Linked DNA regions of Cricetulus griseus. The protein of the gene in region 2 interacts with the protein of the main gene of each other region in a biochemical or structural test. Links are inferred from orthologs where the notes say so. Each region holds a gene or a part of one and is shown on either strand. Other genes may lie near its edges. The genes, in order: Nppa, Npr3 and Nppb.

What was found.
Region 1: the proteins of Npr3 (region 2) and Nppa form a complex in vitro, tested with the Homo sapiens proteins (4 studies listed by BioGRID, with this or other methods). The link is inferred for Cricetulus griseus from reciprocal best matches to the Homo sapiens genes NPR3 and NPPA.
Region 3: the proteins of Npr3 (region 2) and Nppb form a complex in vitro, tested with the Homo sapiens proteins (4 studies listed by BioGRID, with this or other methods). The link is inferred for Cricetulus griseus from reciprocal best matches to the Homo sapiens genes NPR3 and NPPB.

What each region holds. Positions count from the first base shown.
Region 1 is NC_048595.1:8,467,294-8,471,199, forward strand, and holds Nppa (natriuretic peptides A), read right to left. Parts: upstream 2,390-3,906; 5' UTR 1,821-2,389; coding exon 1,701-1,820; intron 1,602-1,700; coding exon 1,272-1,601; intron 814-1,271; coding exon 802-813; 3' UTR 516-801; downstream 1-515.
Region 2 is NC_048595.1:344,989,458-344,993,561, reverse strand, and holds the start of Npr3 (atrial natriuretic peptide receptor 3), read left to right. Parts: upstream 1-1,253; coding exon 1,254-2,007; intron 2,008-4,104. UniProt on the Homo sapiens protein: Receptor for the natriuretic peptide hormones, binding with similar affinities atrial natriuretic peptide NPPA/ANP, brain natriuretic peptide NPPB/BNP, and C-type natriuretic peptide NPPC/CNP.
Region 3 is NC_048595.1:8,479,925-8,483,319, forward strand, and holds Nppb (natriuretic peptides B), read right to left. Parts: upstream 1,977-3,395; 5' UTR 1,882-1,976; coding exon 1,756-1,881; intron 1,544-1,755; coding exon 1,321-1,543; intron 832-1,320; coding exon 815-831; 3' UTR 606-814; downstream 1-605.

The DNA.
Region 1 (3,906 bases), about 340 Mb from region 2:
TAGATAAATAGGAAGAGATGCACCAGTCGGTGTGGTCATTCACAAAGCATTTGAACTTGCCACTCAGCCTGGAAACCGTCCTTCACTGCTCCCCACTATGTAACCCACCCTCCACTCTTATCCAAACTGAAAGTGTAATTCACATGGCTGCAGCAGCTGGTGCTCAGGTAACAGAAGATCTGGACAGTCCCTGGTTCTCTAAATGCTCCTTAAAATCACCCAAGCTGTAATCAAAAAGTGAGAGGGGTGCAAGGAATTGTCAGCTGAGCACAAGCGTCAGTACCTGCCGCCAGGAAAAGATGAGTTGGAAATAAATGACCTTTCAGTCTGGGTGGACTTTTCCGCCATCTGTGACTGGGGCTGGAGTGAGTGGCAGAGCACTGTGTCTTGAGCCCCCCCCCACACACACACACACTCACCAAGAAGAGTCAGGAAGGGGGAAATGACAGCAAAGGGTAAGGTGGGGGACACCGGGGAATGAGGGCCAAAAGTGAAAGAAGCACCCAGACCTCGGCTTCTGTCCTTGGTGCTGAAGTTTATTCAAAAAAAATTATTTCCAACTGCTTTCCGAAAGGGGTGAGGATCTACCTTAATATGCAGGGTGGGAGAGGGAGAGCCCCATTGAAACCACCCATCTACATTTAGCATCAGTCGTGATAGATGAAGACAGGAAGCAGCAGCTCCAGCAGGGTGTTCGCCACACCTCAGTGACGATGAGACCAAGCTGCATGACACACCATAGGGGCTTAGGGTCTTCTGCAATCTGCCCCAGCAAATCTGGCTGCTTTTCCTCCCTGGCTGTTATCTTCGGTACTACAAAGAGAAAAATATATTGGTTTGATGATCTGGCTTTACTGTACTAAAACATTCAACTTGGCCAGTGATCCCCTATTTCCCACCAGCCACAGTCCAGCCCAATGGTCCCCTGTCATAAACTGGCAAACAAGTAACCCATAAACGTTAAGGCAGGCAGATTTAGTCCATTTCATTGAAATATGCCAGGCTCTTACAATTGTGGGAAGAACACTAACTGCCCATCAGCAGCGCAAAGGTGACTTTGCCTTTATTCTAACTTCCCAGCTGGTGCTCAGAGGCTGTAGCAGCTGTTGGCATGGTCTTGAGACTTCTGGAACATCCACATAGTGGGGCAGAACTCTCAGAAGGAATAAACACTTGCACTGGTCTCTCTGCTGCCAAAGATACTCCCTCGAAGTATTGAGTTTGCTCTCCCACCCAACCTCCATGCCATTTCCATCCACAGTTCCTCTTACCCGGAAGCTGTTGCACCCTAGTCCGCTCTGGGCCCCAATCCTGTCGATCCTACCCCCGAAGCAGCTGGACCTCCGTAGGCTCCGAGGGGCAGCCAGCAGAGCCCTCAGTTTGCTTTTCAAGAGAGCAGATCTATCGGAGGGCTCCCAGGAGCTGCGCCCAAGGGTACTGCCTTCTCTCTGCGGTGGGTTGACCTCCCCAGTCCAGGGAGGCACCTCAGGGAGGGAGTTGAGCACTGCCCCCGGTGCCTCATCGTTCTGCTCACTCAGGGCCTGAGGGGGCACGACCTCATCTTCTAATGGCATCTTCTCCTCCAGATGGTCTAGCAGGTTCTTTACAAAGGAAAAATAAGTGCCGGGGAAGGGGGATGTCTTAGAGGAATGCACTCAGCACCAAAGAGACCCAGTCTGTGCCCCACTTCCTGGCCCTACCTTGAAATCCATCAGATCTGTGTTGGACACTGCACTGTACACAGGGTTCGCTCCAATATGGCCTGGAAGCCAAAAGGCCAGGAGCAGGAAGAAGCCCATGGCGATGGAGAAGGAGCCCATGCTGGCGAGGGTTGGGGCACGATCTGAAGCTTGCTGTCTCTGCTCACTCCTCTCCGGCTTCTCTCTCTCAGCCTTTGCCCGTCACTGTCTCCCAGCTGCCCAGTGCCTCCCGTTTTTATAGCCCCCCAGCTCTCTGAGAACGCAGGAGGGCTGGAACCCTCCCCATTCTGTCACTTGCAGCGATAAAGCGATGGAGTGAGGAGCCAGCAGAAGATGTCCTTTTAAAGTTATCAGCCCAGCAGAGCTTGTCACGGCCCCTTCTCCTTGAGCAGCTCCAGTAGCCCCCCTCCCCGAGACCCTCGTCTGCAAGAGTCACATTCTTGCTGATTTGCCTCAAGAGGCCCCCACTTCAAAGGTGTGAGAAGAGCAGAAGAGTCCTTGGTTATCTCCCCGGGCGCGCGCCTCAGGATTCTTTCTCCCTGGCAACGGGACCCATGCAGGGAAGCAGAGGGTGACGGCTGGCCTGCACCCAGCTCCCCCTGCTTGCAGCTCAGCTGTCAGGGGCTCCAAATAAGGGTGGGAGGGGAGGAAATGACAGGCAGCTGGGAGGCCAGCTAGACCAGCTAGGGAGTGCACATGCTGGAGCTGGCTTCACACCTGATTCATCAGCCTCGTGGGTGGACCTCTGGCCCCCGACAGCCCACCCCCACCCTAGATATGCGTGTTAGCAGTCAGGTGAAAGAGTTATTTTATTTTAGAGTGTGAAGTCAGCCAGGAAGCCAGCATGATACAGGCCCTAAGAATTCAGCTACAAGTATAAACACCAAGGGACGATAGAGCGTATTTCCTCTGAAGCCCATTGTTCTTGTCTCCCAAGACTTGGTCCAAGGTGCAAGGGGACAGACAGGCTTGAAGAATGCCTCCGCTTCTCTTTCTTGGCCTTGCTGTTTTCAAAAGCTCTGAGTCTGAGTACAAAGTGTAAAATGGTCCCAGCTTCCCAGGGAATTAGAGGGAAGAAGGGAGGTGATGGAAGGGAGGGCACACAGTTCTCCATAACATTCTTCGCGACCTCCAAGGCCAAGGAAGTGAGCCATCAAAGTCTTGACTCCTCTGGCATCTGCAGGAGCATGGCAGTCACTGAATGCTCTCGAGACTTCAGTGTCACCACACTCAACACTGCGCAAGCTTTGCTGTCTGACAAGCGTGTGTTTTCTCCTTTCTGTTCACTTACGGGCTGCAGCAGACCCGAATTCCATTCCCACACATTCTAATCCACTCCCGCCATTCAGGGCCCAGATAGCTGTTTTCAGGATGGCTAGTTCCGTCCTCAGGCTGTGGCTGCCTGCTGAAGTTGTCATGTGACCACAATGGCTGGAGGTCACAAGAGGTGTCTGTGGTGATGTTCTCTAAAACAGGAGAAAGAGAGAGAGAGAGAGAGAGCCCTTTGAGAAAGCTGGGGGCTGCAGGCAACCAATTTGGGCTAGCCGATCTCTACTTGAAATATGAAATCAGTGCAAGTCTTTGTGGGAACTCTGGGTCCAAACTCTGTCGCCTCCGGATGAGTCCCTGGGATGCCCTCAATGCTTAAGTGTGTGGCTGTGAATTATGAGCAAAGAGGACTCAGCAAAGCATCCCTACTGGGGGACTCAGGTCCCCTGCGGTGTGTGCCACATGGCCTGTCTCCTGGAGATTGATGGCCTTTGAATCAGGCACAGACTTGAGAAATGGCTCTGAGGCCTTCTGCCACTTTTCTGTCCTGTGCCATATCTGAAGCGCAGAGGTGGCCCTAGGAGAGGTGACGTTCTGAGCAGTCATGCTCCAGGAGGGCAATCTCAAGGCCCGCCCATCTCCTTTGGTCAAAGTCAATTTTCAAGAGTGGAACTGGAGAGGACATAAGTGCCATCCACTGAGTTTCTGTGTTCTCAGGGTTCCATTAAGGGGCAGGGATGGAGGACGCTCCGAGTGCTCTCCACGTCTCTGTGTCACCATGTTCCACAGTGTGTGCTCTGTGTCTGACAAGTGGAGGAGCCCATCACCCTCTCAGTCCAGTCCTTAAGAAGCCTTTCAGCTGAGTCCCAAATGGAAGGCAACTCAAGGTGACGTTTCTTTCCATGTCTTTGGCCCTGCTCCACTTTGGGGTGCCCAG
Region 2 (4,104 bases):
ACAAGTTTCGCTTTTCTGGTCTTGGTGACCCTGCGGAGGGGTCTGTGCCCTGAGACACGGCGACGGCTGAGGCCGCTATGTGTCCCAGCAGCCCGGAGAGGGGGACCCACGCCTAGTGGGGGAAGGACGGGTGCGGAAACCGCCCCGGCCAGATGGGCATACTAGGTCCGCAAATGAATCTTCTTCCTGCACTGGGACCTTGTTCCTTGTTCCCCGACCTTGCTCCGGGGACCTGTAAGGTCAGGTGCGGGACAGAACTGGGCGCATCCAGACAGAACCAGGCCGGAGCAAGAAAAGAGGTGAGAGCAAGTGAGACCTGTGGAATTTTGCACCGAAGCCACCAATTTGGAGACACCTCGCCCCCTTTTGCAGATTGTGTGTATGCGTGTGTGTTTGTGCATGTGTGCGCGCGCATTTCTTTCCTTTCAAACTTACATACATTTTTTTTTTTTTTTTTTTTTTAAAGCGGGGGCTAGAGTGAGCAGAGCCAACGAGAGGCGGGGACCTTAGAGTCGCGCTGCGCTGCGAGGGCTCCCGCGGGTGTAGACGTGGGCGGCTGCGGCTTTGGGCCAAAGCTGAGCACCGGCAAGGAGTGGGGCTTAGGGACCCGGCAACAGCGAGTAGGCCAGGGGTGCGGGGAGGAGCCCTGATGTAAGAATGTTAATGAGAGGCTCCCCCAGCCCAGCCCCCACCCTTCCCCACCCCACCCACCCCACCCGCTGCAGAGACAAGCCCGGCCTCGGCGCGCCATGTGTGGTAACGCGCTCCGCCGCTGCCACGCTATTTAAACGCCGGCTATGGATCCAGGAACCCGCGCGAATCAATGGGATCAAACGCGAAGGAGGTGCACCATCAATTACAAGCACCTGGACAAGTCTAACTTTTTTTTTTCTTTACAAATAACGCCTTCAAATGCAACCTTAGCAACGCCCAAATAAGAAGCCACCTCTGAGCCAAATAGCCTATGTGCAAAGGGAGGGAGAATATATATATTTATAATAAGTCTATACGTATATTACAGACGCACAGGTTTACATTCGGTGAACTTTTCTTTTTATCTTTGCTTTTATTTTTTTCTTTTGAAAACCTAGGGACACTGCAGAGGAGTCTTCCTCTCTCTTTTGGCGCGTTACTCAAGGGGGTATTCTGTTTACTCGGAGTGCCCAAGAGGGCGCAGGGACAGAGGAAAGAGGCAGGGTGGGCGGGGGGCAGAGGGCGAGCCGCGGCCAAGGCTAGGGCTTGCTGGCAACACGATGCGGTCCCTGCTGCTGCTTATTTTCTCGGCGTGCGTGCTGCTGGCCCGGGCGCTACTGGCTGGCGGCGCGAGTGGTGGAGGTAGGGACACCGGGCCAGGCAGCGGGCGCCGGCAGAGAGAGGCGCTGGCGGCTCAAAAGATCGAAGTGCTTGTGCTGTTGCCCCAGGACGATTCGTACTTGTTCTCGCTGGCCCGGGTGAAGCCGGCCATCGAGTACGCTTTGCGTAGTGTGGAGGGCAACGGCACCGGGAGGAGGCTACTGCCTCCGGGCACTCGCTTCCAGGTGGCTTACGAAGACTCGGACTGCGGCAACCGTGCGCTCTTCAGCCTGGTGGACCGCGTGGCGGCGGCGCGCGGCGCCAAGCCGGATCTTATCCTTGGGCCGGTGTGCGAGTACGCCGCAGCGCCGGTGGCCCGGCTGGCGTCGCACTGGGACCTGCCGATGCTGTCTGCAGGAGCGCTGGCCGCCGGCTTCCAGCACAAGGACACGGAATATTCTCACCTCACACGCGTAGCTCCTGCCTACGCCAAGATGGGCGAGATGATGCTCGCCCTGTTCCGCCACCACCACTGGAGCCGCGCTGCCCTGGTCTACAGCGACGACAAACTCGAGAGAAATTGCTACTTCACCCTCGAGGGGGTCCACGAGGTTTTTCAGGAGGAGGGTTTGCACACTTCTGCCTACAATTTCGACGAGACCAAAGAGTTGGACCTGGACGACATCGTGCACTACATCCAGAGCAGTGAGCGAGGTGAGTAAGGGCGCGATCTGGACGCTTGGCTCCCACCCAGAGGTTCTCGGTGGCTCCCCACAAGTCCCATCACCTCAGCCTTTTGCAGATCTCACCCTCTCCCGAAACCCGAACATCCCAAGAGGGTGCGCGCAGGGACTTGCTCAGGTGTGAGCTGCCTGACCTAGGGGCGGGTTGATGGTAGCCCATCGCTGTGCAAGGGGTGTGCCTAGGGAGTCCTGGGGGAAGTGGCTGGCCATTCGAGGGAACCTCTGAGGTCCCCAAGTATGTCAGTTGTTGCCAAACACCAAGAATTTTCCCTATCCGACAGCTCTGGGGTCCCTAGCGGTCCAGGAACTTACTCTGTCCATTGCCGTCGAGCTCCCCCCTGATAGGGTGACATCCAGCAGCAGAGCGCAGCTTCTTGACTACCTGGGGGTCTCCCGGCTACCCTGGCTGCTCTTTTCACAGACCCTAAGTCTCTTTTAAAGGCTCTTTGTGTTACTCTCCCATGCTCCCTCTAGTCTCATATAAACAAGCTTCTGTGGTTTCCACCGAAGTGCGTCGCGGTGTCTGGACTCAGGCGACACTCACTTCCCCCGGGTGCGTTGGGCTTCGCAGACTCTGAAAGAGCGCAGAGCTAAGCTTGGCCGGAGCGCGTGCGGGACGATCCTGCGTGGAGCCTCCTTCCCACTGGTCCCCTTCCCGGGCTTTTCTCCCCGAGTAGCTGAGGGCTTGAGACAATAGCCAAACTAGACAGAGAGCTCAGTACTGGGTGTTGTGACCTTGGTTAGAGGGAGCGTGTGAACCTCCCCCCACTCCCACAGCTGCCACGTTTCTGTCGTGAAGACAGCTGAAGGAGTCGGAATCCCCGCAGAGGGCAAGGAGTCGGGGTGTCCCGACTGGGGTTCACAACATTCCGGGAATCCCGCCTCTGCTTTCCCTTGGTGCGCAGGCGCCCAGAATGTCCGTGGTATTCCCCCTTTCCCCCCTCCTTGCAAAGCTTCCGACGCCCCGGGGTGCTGTTCGGTTGAGACCTAGGGAGACCGGAGCCAGCTAGGCACCCGACTTGTCTTCAACTTGAACGTCTGGGGCCTGCCTGTTTCGGGCCAGAGTAGCATGAAGCATGGAGATGCAGAACAGGTGAGGTGGGCAGAGCAAGCTTCCAGAGTGGTATCACCGCGGCCTCTCTCTCCAACTTGGCCACTCTGAACTGAAAGAGCATGCCCTGTAGAGCCAAGAGGTGTTGTAGACGGTGTGGACAGGACAAGTCTGACCATAAGAACTCCAGGCTGTCTGTGCAGAATCATTGTTAGGTGCTGAAGCAGGGCACTGGTTAAGTGAAAGGAAAGTTCTGCCCTATGTGGCAGATTGCCCCTGCTGGGTGAGAAACCCACATCTACTTTTCTCCCACTCTCAGTCATCAGGCTACTGCAGCCTCTTGTGGTCCTGGTAACTCCTTCAGCTCTGGGCTCCCCAAGATGGAGCTAAAACCTGTAGACTTCCTAGGACAGGCTGGAGATGGGGTGTGACCCCTCCTGGCTAGATCAGAGGTTTGCAAGCCTTATCATTGCCTTGTTGAACCCAGTGAGACATTGACCTTGGCACAGTGGCCTGGGATGAGAGGCCTGGCAGATCTGTCTGTCCTGCTGTGTGGCCCTGTGCACTGTGCTCCGGAGCCCTGGTGCTGGGAGGGTCAGAGTGTGGTAGAGGGCCCAGGGATTGGTGCGGCCTGGTTTAAAAGGACTCCAGCTTGCATGCGGCCCATGCTATTATTTTTAAATACACCACGTTTGGAGGTATACCCAGATCTCTTTGCTTTTATTTACCGTCCATTTTAATGGTGAATGTTTGCTAGACCGGTGTGTGTATCTTATAGGTGATAAGGTTATAATCGTACTATTCTTTCTCTAAAATCTGTCTCTAACAGTGAGTGATATGGCAGATTTTCCAAAATACAAATAAAAATAGTTTCTTTTCCAGGCTGACCTCCTCTCAATTTCCTACTCTTTGTAGAGAAAGTGTAAGTTCTCAGGGTGTTTCCTGTAGATTTGAACCTTTACTTCGGAGGGGGCGTCACGGGGTTTAGTGTATGCTTTCAGTGGAGTTTGTGGCTCA
Region 3 (3,395 bases), about 340 Mb from region 2:
GCGCGCGCGCACACACACACACACACACACACACACACACACACACACAGCCTTCATCCCTGACATCCTTGTTGGGTTTCCTAGATTAGTCAGAGTGTTTGATGATGGAGTTCCAGGCGGGGGGGGGGGGGGCGCGAATGCTATGATCCCCTCCTCTTATTGCTCTGCACCCCGGAATCAAACACACACTTTGAAGAACAGATTCTGTGAGGAGTCTCAGGTGTTTCTGGTGTGGATTGGCACCTCACAATGTTAAAAACTGGGAGGGAAAGGAAAGCTCAGACACCTCACTGGCCCAGCCCTTGGGCTGTCTTTCTTCCACCATTAAGATGCCCTGGGACCTTGCGGGAAACATATTTTGTGGGGCTTGCTTCTTTCCTTGTTAAGATGAGTGACTAGAGTCAGGCATAGTGGCATGCCTTTAAGGAGACAGGCAGATTTCTATGAGTTCAAGGCCAGCCTGGTCTACAGAGTGAATTCCAGGACAGCAGAGTCTATGAAGAGAGACCCCATATCAAAAAATAAACAAACAAACAAAACAACAACAACAAAAAACCCCACAAACTGAAAAAGACAAGAGACTGATTGAAACACAGAGAGACAAATCATTTTCAAAAGCAAGAAATAATGCCGTGTTTATTACATTGTGAAAAGTTTGTGCTCAAAGGTAAGAAACAGTCTTGTAGAAAACAACCAAATAAATAAAAATAAATAAATAAATAAATAGGATCACTTCAAAAGGGGGTCCCAGGGTTGGGGAAGGAGCCCTTGGTGGAGTCAGGAGCCGGGCGGTGTCTGCAACTGGGAGCTCATCCTAATACCGCTTCAGCACTATGGGGAAAAGAGACAGGGAGATGTCAGACTTGGGGGTGAAACTGAGGCAAGGGCTGAGCTGCCCTCCACCTGCAGTCCCCAAAGGATGTTGAAGTTTACGGCTTTGGAAAAAGCAATCTCACTGGGCCTCAGTTTCTACTGTAAAGTGGGTCCGTTGTGCCCTTTGCCTTTGACAATTCAGTGTGGAGAAAACAGAGAGGAAATGCTCTTTCCTCTATGAAGGGGTGGTCAAACAACAGGCAGTCTGCACCCCGAGGTGCATTTGACCCCTCTGATGGAAGGTAGGAGGTGGTGACTTGTGAGGATGTAACGAAGCACCCATGTGACATTTCCTGACAGGTTGCCTGGTCCTGAAGACCGTCAGCAAGGTGGAGAGCTATGCAAGTATGCCGGATAGCAGACCTAGGGACTTCTGCTGGTGGCATGCCATGTGTGGGGATGGGGTGGGGGCACAGCTTGCAGGGAAGTGGCAAGGCAGAAGCTCACCGTTGCAGCCCAGACGACTGACTGAGCCGATCCGGTCTATCCTCTGCCCAAAGCAGCCCGAATTATGCATCTTCTTGGAGTTTTGAAGTTTCTGTAGGACCTGGAGGGTGCTGTCTTGAGACCCAAGGGTGCTTTGGGGAGGTGCTTTTGTGACGCCTTGGTCCTTCAGGAGCTGCCCCCGAGCCACCGCCTCTGCCTTTTCCCTCAGCAGGTTCAGCAGTGTCTGTGATGAGAGTGGGGAACCCAGGCCTCAGAAACACACTCCTGGCTCTCCCTTTCCTCCATGGTGCCCATTGGTTAAGAGTCCTGGTACTCAATCTTGCTGCTTCCCGAGTCTCACAAGGCTAATTCCCAAAGGACATGAGGTCTTTTCTTTGCCGCTGCCCAAACCCTTCAGGCAGACCCCATCCGTCTATGCAGCCCCTCAGCGCTCACCTGCATCTTGGATTGCTCCGGAGACTGGCTGGGACTGCCCAGGGGGTGGGAGTGACTTCCCAGCGGTGACAGATAAAGAAAAAGCAGGAACAGAACCATCCGGGACAGCACCTTCTGGAGATCCATGTCGTAGAAGTGATGGACCAGGCTGCTGTGGCGGTGCCTTGTTCCACCTCCTCAAGCAGCTTGTGTTCTGGCGTCTTCAGCCACGGTGCTTCTGCCTTTTATCCTGGAGCTGGGTGTCCGGCCAGCCCTCTCATGGAGTAGGGGGTGGGGTTATCTCTAATTTATCAGCCACATTCCTGCCTGCTGAGCTCAGGGCCTGAGAATTCCCCCCTCTGTGCCTGTGTGGGGTATTCGTTGTGGGTGGAGGCTGTGGAGAGCGGGCCTTGTATAGAAATGGGCTGGGCTAGGGTAGGAGTGTGCGGGGGACACTAACATGCTCCCTCCTTTCATGTAATCGTCTGAGTGTCTTTAACATCCTGCCCCACCCCTACTGGAGATGGCATGGAGAAGAACCCCAGCTTCCCTCGCCTGCAGCCGAGTGTGGGGCTTATGGGGTGACTCATTGAAAACACTCCCTGGCAACACCCACCATCACCAGCTTCCCCGAGAGAGTGTCCTCAGAACCTGTAATCTAGGCCCTGCCCGGCTTCCGAGCACCTGGCTGGACCGCTGGGCTGGACCGCTGGACTGCACCGCTTCCCGGCACCCTAGTAGCTGTCCGTGGTTCTGATCTCCACAAGTGAACGTCACACAAACTCTGCCACTCTCTCCTCAACCCATTTCCAGGCCAGAAGGGTCTCTCACACCCCCCAAAACCTTGTGAAACTTTTTGCCCAAGGATGCTCACTCTCTAGTGTCAACTGATTAAAAACTGGGATATGACAAAGAACTTCTGGAATTCCGACCCTCTCTCTGTCCCTTAATGAGGAGAACTGATTAGGATAGAATTTTGAGAGCCTGGCCCAGAGATGAGGTCATGTAGGAATGCCTTCTGGGGGCATCTCCAGGTGCCAGAGTCTCCTCCCCCACCATGAGTGGAAGAGAAAGGGTGCTTAGACACTAGAGGTGTGGGAAGGGCCTCTCCCCAGTGTTCTTATCAGATCACCCATGAGTGACTTCTCCCTAACACACCAGCCTCCCATCTCAGATGAGAGATGAGATTCTGAGGGGAAAAGGCCCTGGGATACATACCTCCCAAACATGTGTGACCAATGTCACCACCCCATCCGCAGAATCTGTGTTAACAAGTGTCAGCGTGGTGAAGGACAGTGACCAGGAGTAGCAGTGGGTTATGGCACAGATGGGAAAAAGGGATAGTTAGAAGCTCATGACTTGCCAGGAGGTGGTGGTGCACACCTTTAATCCCAGCACTCAGGAGGCAAAGGCAGGCAGATCTCTGTGAGTTTGAGGCCAGTCTGGTCTACAGAGTGAGTTCCAGGACAGCCTGGAGAAGGAGGAGGAAGAGGAGGAGGAGAAGGAGGAGGAGGAGGAGGAGGAGAGGAGGAGGAGGAGGAGGAGGAGGAAAGAAAGAAAGAGAGGAAGGAAGGAAGGAAGGAAGGAAGGAAGGAAGAAAGAAAGAAAGAAAGAAAGAAAGAAAGAAAGAAAGAGCAGCAGCAGCTCATGACTCCAAAACC